Arabidopsis thaliana: one gene and its partner. The protein of the gene in region 1 interacts with the protein of each later gene in a pairwise test. Each region holds a gene or a part of one and is shown in the gene's direction. Other genes may lie near its edges.

Evidence for each region. Proteins that work in one complex are often made in the same cells at the same time.
Region 2: the proteins of GSTL1 (region 1) and PPa5 interact in a two-hybrid assay, tested with the Arabidopsis thaliana proteins (one large-scale study listed by BioGRID).

What each region holds. Positions count from the first base shown.
Region 1 is NC_003076.8:626,703-634,923, forward strand, and holds GSTL1 (glutathione transferase lambda 1), read left to right. Parts: upstream 1-4,045; 5' UTR 4,046-4,092; intron 4,093-4,148; exon of another isoform or gene 4,149-4,188; 5' UTR 4,189-4,254; coding exon 4,255-4,271; intron 4,272-4,375; coding exon 4,376-4,514; intron 4,515-4,620; coding exon 4,621-4,707; intron 4,708-4,806; coding exon 4,807-4,905; intron 4,906-4,997; coding exon 4,998-5,103; intron 5,104-5,180; coding exon 5,181-5,257; intron 5,258-5,347; coding exon 5,348-5,455; intron 5,456-5,547; coding exon 5,548-5,625; intron 5,626-5,780; coding exon 5,781-5,783; 3' UTR 5,784-6,057; downstream 6,058-8,221. Other genes in the region: AT5G02760 (Protein phosphatase 2C family protein), read left to right, coding at 1-115; MOS11 (Protein MODIFIER OF SNC1 11), read right to left, coding at 1,399-1,428, 1,530-1,593, 1,701-1,838, 1,931-2,017, 2,141-2,466; GSTL3 (Glutathione S-transferase family protein), read left to right, coding at 6,175-6,191, 6,353-6,424, 6,531-6,591, 6,786-6,872, 6,958-7,056, 7,130-7,232, 7,315-7,391, 7,488-7,595 and 2 more. UniProt on the Arabidopsis thaliana protein: Catalyzes the glutathione-dependent reduction of S-glutathionylquercetin to quercetin. In vitro, possesses glutathione-dependent thiol transferase activity toward 2-hydroxyethyl disulfide (HED).
Region 2 is NC_003075.7:622,066-628,570, forward strand, and holds PPa5 (pyrophosphorylase 5), read left to right. Parts: upstream 1-4,003; 5' UTR 4,004-4,137; intron 4,138-4,154; exon of another isoform or gene 4,155-4,257; intron 4,258-4,473; coding exon 4,474-4,609; intron 4,610-4,684; coding exon 4,685-4,713; intron 4,714-4,790; coding exon 4,791-4,856; intron 4,857-4,936; coding exon 4,937-5,044; intron 5,045-5,126; coding exon 5,127-5,192; intron 5,193-5,286; coding exon 5,287-5,407; intron 5,408-5,487; coding exon 5,488-5,569; intron 5,570-5,650; coding exon 5,651-5,693; 3' UTR 5,694-6,005; downstream 6,006-6,505. Other genes in the region: AT4G01460 (basic helix-loop-helix (bHLH) DNA-binding superfamily protein), read left to right, coding at 1-206, 522-632; TIP1;3 (tonoplast intrinsic protein 1;3), read right to left, coding at 3,027-3,785.

The sequences.
Region 1 (8,221 bases):
CCACGACGATATAACCGTTATTGTGGTCTATCTCAACCCCCACCCGGTCAAAACCAATTCTTGGGCTTCACCTCTGTCAATTAGAGGGGGATACCCGATGCATTCAACATCATGAACAGATCTTACGGCAAAAACACTTCCTGTGTCAAGGGCAATAAATTGGAGCCAGGGTCAAGAAAAGAACTAGTAGTATAGCTAGAAACAATATTAAGTTATGAGATCTTTGATATGTTCTCCACAAGAAAACATGAATTCTCATGTACCCCTGTATGCAAAATTATACACGAGGGTACTTGCATGCAATATCATCAATGTCAACGCTGGTAAAATTCGAAAGCGTTGCAACATATTGGAGTTTAGGCACAAAACAGTAGATAGCCAAGAAATGTGTTGAAACTTAACATTACATTCCCTTTATAAAAGTTTTCTGGCGCTTCATTCAAAATTAACAGAAAGCAAGTATCAACAAAAGTTTATCTAAAATCTATTACAGAAACAAAGAAACTGTGTAGCATCAGAAGCCAGCAAAAACGCAGTCCCACGAACAGAGAATTTAGAATCTGAGGCTCTCTTTCCTTCAACTGCCATAGAGACCAGAGATATGGAAACCAACAAGTACATCTATAGTTCTAATGATGTCTTACATGACAAAGAAATTCTGAAGTAGCGGCTTGAGAGGTCATATGAAATTAAGTAACCTAAGAACGACACATGTTTATGGGATCCATTTTGCATGCAATATTCGCAATCAAGCACAGAACACCAGTAGACCAGCTAAATTTCGTAACCAAGACTAAGAAAAACTAGCAAAATAGGCACAACTCAAAAGTAATCAACACTTCTAATTTCTAACTAGTTCAAAACAGTAAAAAAATGTCTCCCTTACTTAAATATTTGCTGCATGCAGTACAAATTTTCAATTGCTGGTGCTTGTGCTTGATACGAACATGCAATACTAAAAGGACCATCCACATTCCAATATATTAAAACGAAATAAAGTTATTAATCAAACTATACTTACCACTCCAAGAACCTGCAACATGGAAAACATCAATACCAGCCACTTCAGAATTCCTAGGTCCTAAACACATTGATAATTGTCATTTCAGACAATCAGAACTATAGGTTACTTATTGGTTTCTCAAGATCTCATCTGGTGATTGCTCCACGACCGAACTTAGTAAAGATACTACACACATGGACTTCTAATTCAGAAATAAAGAGAGAATGAAGCAGCCAGAGAGGGACTCATAAAACGCTAGCACACTACCTGCCCATATAACAGATTATGGAGTCAAATACGAGAAAAAATCGTATCAACAAGAGTTTGCAATGCAATAAGAATTATCTGGAAAAACTCACCTAACTACAAAGACGGAAAAACTTTATTGAGGAACCTTAGGCAGCGCTTCCTGATACAGCTGCCTCCTGATGAAACAAAGAGTTCAACAAGAGATATCATTAGCTTTTCTATCAATTCTCTCATTCTATCAGATGGACGACACAACAGAAGTTAAAAGACTGTTTACCTTGCCAATAATTTGCTTCTCAGGTAAATCTGAAGATGCATCTGCTGAAGCCTCTTTTGAAAACCTAATGATGGGAAATTCACAAACCACAAAAATCAATAATTAGAAAGCATGGCACAGTACTTCAGTTCTCAGGGACTAGAAGAATTTGAGGTTGCATAGAAAAAGTACCTCAATGCTCTAGCTTTGCGCTTATTTTCTTCAGCAGAATCAACTTTAGTCTCTTTTCCAAAACGAGCGAGCCTAGCTTTCTTCTTTGCCTCTTCCTCAGTCTTATCAGTAGTAGAGGTCGCAGAAGGAACCCCAAATCTGTTCAAAATACAAAGCGAGTATGAAACTCCTTTTTCTCTAAACCCAACCAATAAACAACTATCAAGTACAAAGAAAGTATTGTGACATACCTATCAGCTCTTGCTTTTCGCTTCAATTCCTCTGCTTTCTTCGTTCCCTCTGAGCCATTCACCACTGCTGCAGCTACAGTACCAAACCTGCACCGAAGGTGAAATTCCTTACAACATAGGTTTGACAATAAGTATAAAAAATTCCGTAACCCTAATTTTCGAAACCCCTAAATTCGACGGAATCTAACGAATAAATATTAAAGTCTTTACCTCTCAGCACGAGAATTGCGCTTCTCCTCTTCGGTCAATTTCACCGAAACACCAAACCTCTCAGCACGTCGAATCTTCTTCTGGATATCATCGACCGGAGAGATATCCCCAGAATCAACACCAGCCGTCGATCCAATACCATTAGAGTCGGTTTCTTCCTTCTTTTCACCAGAATCTGAAAATCCCTTGACTTCTCCGTCGAGAATGTCGTCAGTACGATCTAACTCCGTAGTGTTGAGGTCTACAATTTTCTTAGGGTTTTCACCAGTAGATAGCCCTCCGCCATTCACCACCGTAGCCGTGACCTTCTCTCCGTTGGTCGCCATGGAATCGTAGCTCCGTTCGAAATTCGCACTTGTGGAGATTCGTAAGATATCTCTTTCGCGATTTTAGCAGAAGACTATTGTAGGGTTAGAGTCGAACCGTCGAGTCTCGGGGACTTTTAAAGCCCTTCGACACGAAGGGTAATATAGTCAGATTAAAACTTGATTCTTATGGGCCGGATCGGATCTAAATTATAGTCCGATACATTAAGCATCCGAAATAAGGGGCAATATTGTCTATTTAAACTTGCTTACAATCCGGGTCTGATCTAAATAGCCCGGCCCAAATAAAAAATAAAACGACATCGTTTCATAATTTCATTTTTTTATGATTTAATCTTCTCCACCACGTGACCACGTCCACGAATTATCGGCCGGCGAAGTAGGAATGTAGGATTGGAACTTTGTTAACATTCCCGTCTTGTTTCATCCGTTCTTGAATATGTATGATGTATGCATGTCTCGTTTCAACACTTGTTCCTCCTTTTAAGCATCGTTGCACTTTCTCTTAGCGCCGGATTACTGAGAACGAAGTTTAGTGTAATAATCAACCAAAGCAATCAGTGGGTATTACTCAAAGCATTTAGTAGATGTGTTTTAAGTGTGGATGAGATAATGTTTTGCAGACCTCTTTAGTTTTTGTTTGGTCGTTAAATGCTGCAAAAGAACTTAAAGATCTCCCAAACTTTCTTAATATATTTTTATGTCAGTATGTGTTATGTGTTTTGCATCTTTGTTTGACCGTTTGGTATATTCTGTGACTATGTGAAAATCTACAAAAGTCTTCTTACGATCGGAAAATATGAATACAAACTATAAAAGCATTTAGAAGAAAAAAGGTTTTTTAAAAAAAAAAGAAGAAAAAAAAAAGAAAAAAGGTTTCTTTGGTTCATTAATTTCACCTCATATTTCAAAATGAAATCTGTATAGACAATGACATGTAAAATTTTTTAAATTTAGATACGTTCAAAGAAAACATAAAATTTTGATTGTATCTTCTGATACAAATATTAGTAACCACTAACCAGAAGCTTAAGGTCTACCAGAAAAAGAAAGAAAAGAAAGGCATGAAAGAATTATAATATTTTCATATACAAAAAGAATAATTATTTATACGATACGAATTGAGCATAGATGATTCGGTGAGGTAGCATCCAATGGCGTGGTTCACAGACTGAGCTTTTTGACCAGCATTTTGTTTTTGTCCACTTGTCATAATGAAATTTCGACGAAAACAAAAATAGTTTTTTTCGTTGTGTGTGTGTCATTCCAATCGTATTATTATAACATTACAAGCATTACAAAAAGATATCACAGTAATTAACAAAAATAGTTCTTTCAATTGAAATATTTAGTCATCTACCATTTTTTCTTCTTTTAAACTCTTTTTATTTGATATAAAGAAAAATCATCACAAAGCAACCAAAAAAAATTAATATGATTATTAGTATTCACGTATTCAACTGATTAGACTTCACGTATGTGATTATTAGTATTCTCGCAAACAAAACTAGTAGAAGCTTTTGATCAATATCTTTGACCTTCACAACAAAAATTAGAAAGTTCAACGACAGAGATTAATCAAACGCTGACGTACGTTTACCTTTTTCTATTGGTAGTCACCATTGGGTAAGCATGAACCAAGCCTCTTCCTAATTCCTAATTCCAATTTCCATTGAGTATATATATAATATATATACGTAGTCTTATGTGTTTGATCCATAGTTCCTTTAAAACATCATATCTGCAATAATAATCCCCTGAAGAAACAACTCTTATCAAATCCTCTCCATGGCTCTATCTCCTCCGTAAGATCCTTTTTGTTTACTTTATGAGGTTTCTTGATTAGTATAAAGTCGTTTTTTCTTGTTAAATCTATATTCATCTCCTTGATTTTTTTTCCTTTATCAAGAAAAATTTTCGTAGAAGATCGTCAGGTTCCGCTCGATGCTACCTCTGATCCACCTGCTCTGTTCGACGGAACCACAAGGTTGTACATAAGCTACACTTGCCCATTTGCACAACGTGTTTGGATTACAAGAAACCTCAAGGTACTTGTTTTTTATATATTTATGGTATATATGTATGTAAATTGAGATCGAGATGAAAAATTTATAAGCAAGATTTGTTGATTTGTTTGACATTGGGGAGTTTTAGGGTCTGCAAGATGAGATCAAATTGGTTCCTATAGATCTTCCTAATAGGCCAGCTTGGTTAAAGGAGAAAGTTAATCCTGCAAACAAGGTGCCGTTTATTTTTATGATTAATCCTTATAAACTAATTAACGTTCTTTCAAAAGTGACAATAGAAGACTCTAAAAGATTGTGATAATGATGTATGTAGGTTCCTGCCCTTGAACACAATGGAAAAATCACTGGGGAGAGTCTTGATCTAATCAAATATGTCGATAGCAATTTTGATGGACCTTCACTTTACCCTGAGGTATGACCTTGTTGGCATGTTATAGACTTGTTCTTGTCATGTAAGTAACAATATTTCGATGAGATGTTGTTTTTTTGAAATTTTTGGTCTAGGATTCTGCAAAGAGAGAGTTTGGTGAAGAACTGTTGAAATATGTCGATGAAACATTTGTAAAAACTGTGTTTGGCTCTTTCAAAGGTGACCCGGTTAAAGAAACAGGTAAGGTTGATTTTCTTTTGTGTCTTGTCAATTGTTTTGGGCATCTGAAGGCTGAAACATGTGTGTTTTTGACGCAGCATCAGCCTTCGATCACGTGGAAAATGCTCTGAAAAAGTTTGATGATGGTCCTTTCTTCCTTGGCGAGCTTAGTTTGGTATATTAGTCTTATCAAAATGTTAAGTGCGAATGAACCTTTTTTGAATGTGTCACTATGGTTACAAAATTACTCGATTTTGTTTGCTAGGTTGATATTGCATATATCCCATTTATCGAACGCTTTCAAGTCTTCCTCGACGAAGTTTTTAAATATGAAATTATAATCGGACGGCCAAATCTAGCTGCTTGGATTGAGGTACACGTGTGATATATGCATGTCAACATGGTAAAACTTTTGTATGATTTAGCTGCATACTTGATTGCTTTACCTCAATGTGTGTGGTGCAGCAAATGAACAAGATGGTTGCATATACGCAGACCAAAACCGACTCCGAATATGTTGTCAATTACTTCAAGAGATTCATGGTAATTTCGCTTTTTATAAACGTTTAAACTTTTGTTTATTTGGACTCAAATGCCCTTTTTACTTTAATGTTAGGCTTTGCAATTTTGTCTTAACTCAATTTCCGGTTAACGTTCTAAAACAAAACTAACCGATTCCGGTTTTTCTTTATTTGCAGTAAAAGTAACAAATCTGTTGGACTTTGGTAACGATGCCATGATGGCTTATGAAGAAGAAATATTACTACTTGAGAGTGTTATAAATTTCTGGATTTGGTATTGTACATTTTGTGATAAATAAGAGATATTTGGTATTGTTTACTTTCATTCATCAAAGAGAGAGACATGGTTTATTCCGGATAATACAAATGTCAATAATAAAATGGGCTTAATACCTTATTGAATACCTTATTGAATTGTATCAATTACGGCCCATTATGAGTTATGGAGTTCCCGACAAAGATCACAAAACTGCCACGTGTACGATGATGACTGTAATTTCGAGAAACGTAAACGCTTCCACACAAAAAAAATCCGTAGTTTCTTCTACAGAATCAGATCTTTGTATCGTCAATGGCTCCTTCTTTTATGTAAGGATCTATGTTCTTATCCGGAATTTAGAGTCTTTATTGAGTTTGATCGATTTTGGGATTATAAGTTTCGCAAAATTCATGTTTTTTACATTAAGTCTATTCGATTTCAGCTGTATTGGGAATTTAAGTTTTTCTGTGGCTTGATTCTATTGAGACAGTTTTGTAGAAGATCGTCCAGCTCCGCTTGATGCTACTTCTGATCCACCGTCTCTCTTCGACGGAACCACAAGGTTAATCTTCAATGTTGCTTCTTTTATGCTTTTGGTTTTAGCTCTGTTCTGTAGTTTATTGGATTTCCCTTATGTCTTAACCTCTTATTGTTTTGTGTTACCAAAGGTTGTACACAAGCTACGTTTGCCCATTTGCTCAACGAGTTTGGATCACTCGAAACTTCAAGGTTTAACAGCTTCTCCTTTGTACTAGTCTCTCACCTTTAACAATATTTTGGTCGTATTAGGGATATTTGAAGCCGGATTGGTTATCTTGTTGAAGTTTGTTAATTTGACGTCTCACAAACTTTTATCTTTCTTGCATATGTGTACTCTATTTATAAAGTAGTTGGATTCTTTGGTTGGTTTCCGGTGGTTGTAGGGTTTGCAAGAAAAGATTAAACTTGTTCCTTTGGATCTTGGGAATAGGCCTGCTTGGTACAAGGAGAAAGTATATCCAGAGAACAAGGTTTTCTATTTATAACTCACGAGTTCATATGTGACATTCCACTTTTGGTTATGACTTAGTGGAAACTTCTCGTTATCTTTTTCAGGTGCCAGCGCTTGAGCACAATGGAAAAATCATTGGGGAGAGTCTGGATTTGATTAAATATCTTGATAACACTTTTGAAGGGCCTTCTCTTTACCCCGAGGTAACACATCCCTTATACCGAGTATGGTTTCCCTTCATTATTCTCTGATTCCACTATTCATTTCCCTCTCTAGGATCATGCAAAAAGAGAGTTTGGCGACGAGTTGCTCAAGTATACTGATACTTTCGTTAAAACTATGTATGTGTCACTCAAAGGAGACCCCTCTAAAGAAACCGGTGAGACTTTAAACTCTTCAACTGTTTTCAGGGGTGAAAAGGCGACAAAATTATGACCAAAAATTTCATGTTCTTGTTTCAGCACCTGTGTTAGATTATCTGGAAAACGCTCTGTATAAGTTCGATGACGGGCCGTTCTTCCTCGGTCAGTTAAGCTTGGTATAAGCCTCACTAACCTTCTTTGAGATCATACATTTCGCCTTTTGTTTGTCTTAATTCTTATATGGACGGTTTGAATTCTTTGTTTTTTTCAAGGTTGATATCGCCTATATCCCGTTCATTGAAAGGTTCCAAACTGTACTCAATGAATTATTTAAGTGCGACATTACTGCCGAACGTCCCAAACTATCAGCATGGATTGAGGTATATATATATGCAATCTTCATTAAGTCAGAAAAGATTACACTTATCCTCACTAGGGAATGGTACTTAAGCGATCGGTGTTATGTTTGCAGGAAATTAACAAGAGCGATGGCTATGCACAGACGAAAATGGATCCTAAGGAGATTGTGGAGGTTTTCAAGAAAAAATTCATGGTAAGTCATACAACTAGGATATAATTTTTTTAACTGAACTACCACATGATTTTAATGGATCCAAATGTGAGTTGCTTCATATTTTCTTGGGGGTTAGAACATAAAAGCTATATATGCCTTTAAGCATCTGGTTGTTTAGGTGTGAATGTTCGTTGCTTTGGGTTAGTTTTCTGTTTTGGGAATGAAAACCGAGTCGGTTTAGCATCTGGCTCAGAGACAATCTCATCTTTCTCCAACGAGCGTTTTGCGACTTAGACGTTTTGAAAGCAAAGACCATGCACTAATCATCAGCTAGCCTATTACTATGGCCAAATGACTTGTTTAATACTTTCTCGGTTAATGGTCTATACTAAATGTGAGTCTAATTCCGGTTATATTCTTGCAGTAACTGTAAGCAAGCACGAAGCAGTAAAGTGTATGAGACCAAACCACCTTGTACGAACAGGTGGTCTT
Region 2 (6,505 bases), on another chromosome or scaffold:
GATTTACGGCGAGATTCGGCGGTGGAGATACGACAGAAGTGGAGGCTACGGTGATACAGAACCATGTGAGCTTAAAAGTTCGGTGTAAGAGAGGAAAACGACAGATCTTAAAAGCTATTGTCTCGATTGAAGAACTAAAGCTTGCGATTCTACATCTCACTATCTCTTCTTCCTTTGACTTTGTCATCTACTCTTTCAATCTCAAGGTAATTTTCTTAATCATCTCTTAAACTATCAGTTTCAATTTCCACTAGTTTAAGCATTATTATAAATAGTCTTATGTAACTAGCAATTTTTGACTTTTTGAGGAAAATTAAGGAATCTTCATTTTGAAATGTTTGGTACTTAAGAAAATTAAAATGCATGAGAAACCATAATAGAAAATATCTACAATTATGTGTGTGTGTGTGTATTTTTTTCCTTCACTCTAAGCTTAGAAAATTTTAGTTTAATTTTTTAGTAAGTTGCTAATTTTTGTTTAGTTTTGGAGAGATGAGAAATGAATGGTGTTGTGCATGCAGATGGAAGATGGTTGTAAATTAGGATCAGCAGATGAGATAGCGACAGCCGTTCATCAGATCTTCGAGCAAATCAACGGTGAAGTCATGTGGTCAAATCTTAGTCGAACTTAGTTGACTTTTGACTCCTAGTAACGTGTGTAAACTTTAGGTTACAAAGAAAAGGGACGTGATATAAATAAGAAAAACCAAAGAGGTGAAATTTTGGGAGTTTTAATTATTATCTTATACTTTTTGGATTTTAGATTAGTAGCAAACTCGCAGTGTTCTACGATGACATTATTATTGGTCACATGAAGGTTTAGGTTATTATTGCCTGTAATTTTTGAATATAAACTAACCTATGAGTTCAGTTTGACCCCGAAAACGAAAAAAGTTAACCATGAGTAATATTTACTTCCATTTATAAATGTTTCCCACTTAGTAATAATGTTAAGAAATTGACTTTAGACGTCCGTATTAGAATGGTTACGGAAATGGAAACAAATACAATTAAAGATGAAACATCATTATTACTAAGAAGAAGTCGCCTTCACACTTCGCAACCTCTTTTTATATTTTGCATATACGTTTTATTAATACTCTCATATCGTCCATGCGTCTGACAAATCTACGCTTGATAAAAAAGGTACAGCTACAACATAAATTTAAAGGTATTCTTTTGCATCAACGTCTACTGACTAAAAATACTTGTTTATTGTATAATGACTCTAGTTTTACTTTTAACAACGAAGAGAAAGGTGGCAGAATTTTTTTAATATTCCAATGGTAAAAAAGCATCGTAAAAGGAAGCCTATGGTCAGAGTCTCATTGACACATCGGTCTCGCTTGTAATACGTAAAACTCAGCCTATCTCACTCACATTACTTTTTTCGAAATTTTAATTCATATATCGGTTTCCGCATATATTTAACTTTTGTATTCAAAGCTTATTAAAAAATCGGGAAAAATCTAAACATCATAAGCAAAACAAATCCGATCAATATGTTTAAATTCTGTAATACAAGAACAATATAAACAAAAACATATTATTCAGAAAGCAATGATACATTATTTGAATATTGTGTGTAAGAGTGAACGACAAGATCATACGTCAGAGATAATCGACTGGTAACAACTCTGATCTTTTCCAACTTTTGGTCAAAGTCAAACCATTTGGTCATTTTTACAGTAAATTATTGAGTAATATGTCATTTACTCATTTCTTTTGAGGAAAACTCTTTTTTTATCAGAAAACAAAAACAAATTACTCATTTTCGTTTTGGGCTCAAGACAAAAGTCCTTCTTTTAAAAATATTAGCCCAGTTAATCTATACAGGCCCATTAAAGCCCATACTAAAAGAGCCGAGCGTTCCACCGCGTGAGATTGACGTGCGTGTATTTACGCGTTAATGTTTCGCGTGGTATTTGTTTATTTGAATAAAGATTCCTTAGCTTTATTCTTAGTAGGTCCTCATGAGTCATATTCGTGAAATTGAGGTTTTTGAACGAACTCGGGGCTTTGATTCGAAGTCGAAAGTTTTGATTTTATATTGTGATTTCTAAGTCGAAGGATGTGTTACTTTGGTGTTTTTTTTATTTGATTTTTTAAAAAGAATATTTGATAGTTGTAAAGAGTTTTTGTATATGTTTAATTTTTAAATAGAGAAATGGTCAACGTAGCACAATTAACTTGTAATAGAGAATTGCTCAACGTAGCACAATTAGTGTAGATCTTTAAAATTAAATCATCGAGCGAATTTTAGAATTCTCCCAAATAGTTGTTATCTGCAAATGTCATGTTATTTACAATTCTTGATACATAAAATAGTTAGTTTTCCATGTGGTAAAAACAATAAAACATACGACCAATCGACCATTGACATAACTCTTCTAAATCCACGATGAGTTATATATATAAACTTATAATACTAATCACAATTATTGTTATTGAGGAATATACATCGTGAGTATCATCAAATCTCGTCATCGCACTTTGCTTGAACGTGCAAGAAACTTGGAAACGCGTTTAGAGCAAACACCGGGACACCGAAGTACCGTTTATTGAATTCCTTTTTTTGTGTGTGTTGTTCAATACTTAAATCGACTAAAAAATCATTAGCCTAAGATTCACATATCAGAACGTGCTTGGGCCAAAAATAAAATAAAGAACGTGCATGGACCAACCAACCATATATATATCTTCATAGTATTATTGATAATGGCGGGTCCCATTATGTTTGATATATTTTCAGTTTTCACCATGGAAGCATAATCTCAAGAATATGCCTCCAATAAAATTCGTTTGTACATGAATTCCTTAAGTATGGCAGAATACTACGTATACCCCACATAATAGTTTAATCTAATTTAAATTAGTGTAAATTTTCCACCAATCAATTTATTAATTACTTAAAACAACAAAAGTAGTGAAAAACAATTAAAAACACATATCTCCCTCAAAATACCCATAGTAGGCTACAACTGTAGATTTCTTGTTTCACAAGACACAAGAAAAAAAAACCTAACTTAGAAATCATTAGAAGGAAGTGGTTCATGTCCATTACTACCGATAAAGATAGTATCATAAACAATAGCTGCAATGGCTGCACCGATAAAAGGACCAACCCAATAGACCCAATGATTCGTCCAAATCCAGCTAACCACGGCCGGACCAAATGAAACCGCGGGGTTCATCGATGCACCGTCGAAAGCACCACCAACCAGAATGTTAGCTCCAACGATTAACCCAATCGCCAAAGGCGCAATGATTCCAATATCACCTTTCTTGGGATCCACGGCAGTAGCGTAAACCGTGTAAACTAACCCAAACGTCATCACAATCTCGAAAACGACTGCGTTCCAGGGCGTCACTCCATATGATAGCGAAAACGCAGCCGTTTCCATCCCGCCAGTGCTTACCTTGAGCAACAAGCAAGCTACGACTGCTCCGAGTAATTGAGCGATCCAATAAAGAATAGCTCTCAACAACGTTATGTTTCCACCAATAAAAGCCCCAAATGTAACCGCCGGGTTCACATGACCACCTGAAACGTTAGCTCCAACGGAAACCGCAACGAACAACGCAAACGCATGAGACAAAGACGCGGCCACAAGACCGGCAGGTGTGGCTGGACCATCTCCAGTTAGTTTTCCATAAGCCATTCCAGAGCCTTGACCCGCGAAAACGAATATAACCATCGAGAAAAACTCCGCGAAAGCTGCTCTAATCGCATCGGGACGACTAGCTTCCCCCGGCGTTCCAATCGCAATTCTGTTGATAGGCATCGTTACAAAAAAATTTGCTTTCTTGCTTCCTCTTCATTTTGTTTTTCATCAGTAAAAGTTTAAATAGTTAAAGCGTTAGTGCCAAGTGTGTGTATGAGAATCGTTCAAGAGACTGAGATTAGTGTTTTACGGTGGGCCCTAGGTTATAAGAAATCGAACGGTGATTATAAATTCATATTTAATTAATAACTTACTTACCAATTAATTAAATCTTAATCCGTTTTTCTCGCTTTCTATAAATACTATTATGGGTAGCAATTGAAGAACACGCGCTTTACTGTTTTCTCATCATCGTCACTTTTCTTTCTCCACACTTTCCGCAAGATTGTTCTGTTCTTCAAACGATTCTAAGGTACGACTTTTTTTTTTGAAGGTTCTTGATCTCAACTTTTGTTGCGTATTGATGTTTGATCCTCTGGATTTTGTATCCAACGGAAGATCTATCGAGAAATGAACAAATTCGATACAAATTGTTAGTGTTTAGCTGAATTATGTAGATTTTGTTAACTTCGATCTTGAAGATGATTGATGTTTATCGTACTAGTAGAATCTGATGTTAAATCTTTGAGTGATGGATCGTGTTATCAGCATCAATAGTGAAAAGATTCTATATTGATTTAGACGTGAAGTCATGAAAATTGACTAACAAGATTCTAACGTTTGGTTCTGTTTTGCTCTGTTTTATTAGATGAATGGAGAAGAAGTGAAAACGAGTCAACCTCAGAAGAAGCTTCAGAACCCTACTCCACGTTTAAACGAGAGGATTCTCTCATCTTTGTCTAAGAGATCGGTTGCTGCACATCCATGGCATGATCTTGAAATCGGTAATAATCACTGTTTTAAAGATATTCTGTGTGTTTGATTAGAGTCTTTTTAACTAAATTGTTCTATGTGTGCAGGACCTGGAGCTCCAGTGATTTTCAATGTGGTAAAGTCTTTATGCTTGATGATGTGACAATCCGATCGAAAAAGAGTTAATCATTTGTCTTTTTTGGATGAAATTAGGTTATTGAGATCTCAAAGGGGAGCAAAGTCAAATATGAACTTGACAAAAAAACAGGTCTCATCAAGGTAAAAAGATATCAAATCTTGAAAAAACAGAATGATCTGAGGATATATGATGATCGTAAGTGTTTGTATATGTCTATCAGGTTGATAGGATTCTTTATTCTTCGGTTGTGTATCCTCACAACTACGGGTTTGTCCCACGCACACTATGTGAAGACAATGACCCTATAGATGTTTTAGTTATCATGCAGGTTTGAGTCTAATTCTAACAACATTCACCAAAAGAAAATGAAATGGCTGAAATAATTTCTTATCAAAGTTGATTATGTACAGGAGCCTGTGCTTCCGGGTTGTTTTCTTCGCGCCCGAGCTATTGGTTTAATGCCTATGATTGACCAGGTAACATCCTAAGCTTTAGTTTTTCATGTTTCCTTGTGCTTCAAGTTTGTGTAACCATTGTAGCTAATTCTTTGGGGTTTTGGTTGAAATAAAGGGTGAAAAAGATGACAAGATCATTGCAGTTTGTGTTGATGATCCTGAGTATAAGCACATCACTAACATCAATGAACTTCCTCCTCATCGTCTTTCTGAAATCCGTCGATTCTTTGAAGACTGTATCCTTAAAACCTATTTTAATACTTGATTAGGAAACAAAACCATTTCTTTTTTGCTATCTTTAACCAAAATATAACAGACAAGAAGAATGAGAACAAGGAAGTTGCAGTGAATGATTTTCTACAACCTGGTCCTGCTATTGAAGCCATTCAGTACTCAATGTAAACTTTTTTTTCTTTTTACCTTTTTTACATAATTTGCTTTTCTTTTAAGCAAATCTTGATGTTTGAAATCATTCACAGGGATCTTTACGCTGAGTACATTCTTCACACCCTGAGGAGATAGATGAAAAGAAGACTTCTTCAAGAACATTCCTGCCAATTTTTGGGTCTGCAATCTCAGATTCTGTTGCAGTGAATATGCAAAAGAACAAGAATTTGTCTTATATTTGGATTTTTTTTGAATAAGCACGTGTCTCATATTTGGCTTTGACGCTTTCCTTTTTGTTGTTGTTGTTGTTGTTGTCTTCTGGGGATGTTTTGTCTGAACATTAAGAGTTTGTATTTGTAACACTGCCTTTGGATCTTTTTTTAATAATTTCAAGCTTCGATTTGGTTCCAATGAAACCAGACTTTTGTTTTTATAAATAAGTGTCACTGTCATTTTTGAAGAGTCCCCATTCCACATTTTGTTTTCCTCTGAAATCCAAATCCCAATTAGATTTGCAGAATCAGAATGAGAAAATGTCAGGTGGTGGAGAACTTCTTTTTCTTTCTTTTGTCAGATAGTTGGATCTGCTGCTCACCCCAAAATGGGCCTGGCCCAGTATATATCAATACCAGTAAATTGGCGCGTGTATATCAATCTCCTTTTCACTAAAAAAACACTTAATACCAGAATATATTTTACCAAAAATCTTATTAGTTCTCTAGTTTTTTTTTTTTAAATCTAAATATAAGCGTAATACTTCATCCTTTTTTAATAAGTGATATTTAAAAAATTTATACATGTATATTATCTATTTTACACCTACATTCTATTAATTTTCAAAACAAAAGTAATAGGACTAAGCATTTATTGTAAGGTTGATTTTGAAAATAGTTAATAGTTTTACATGAAAAAATATTGAATATTATTTAAAGTGAAGCAAAATAATT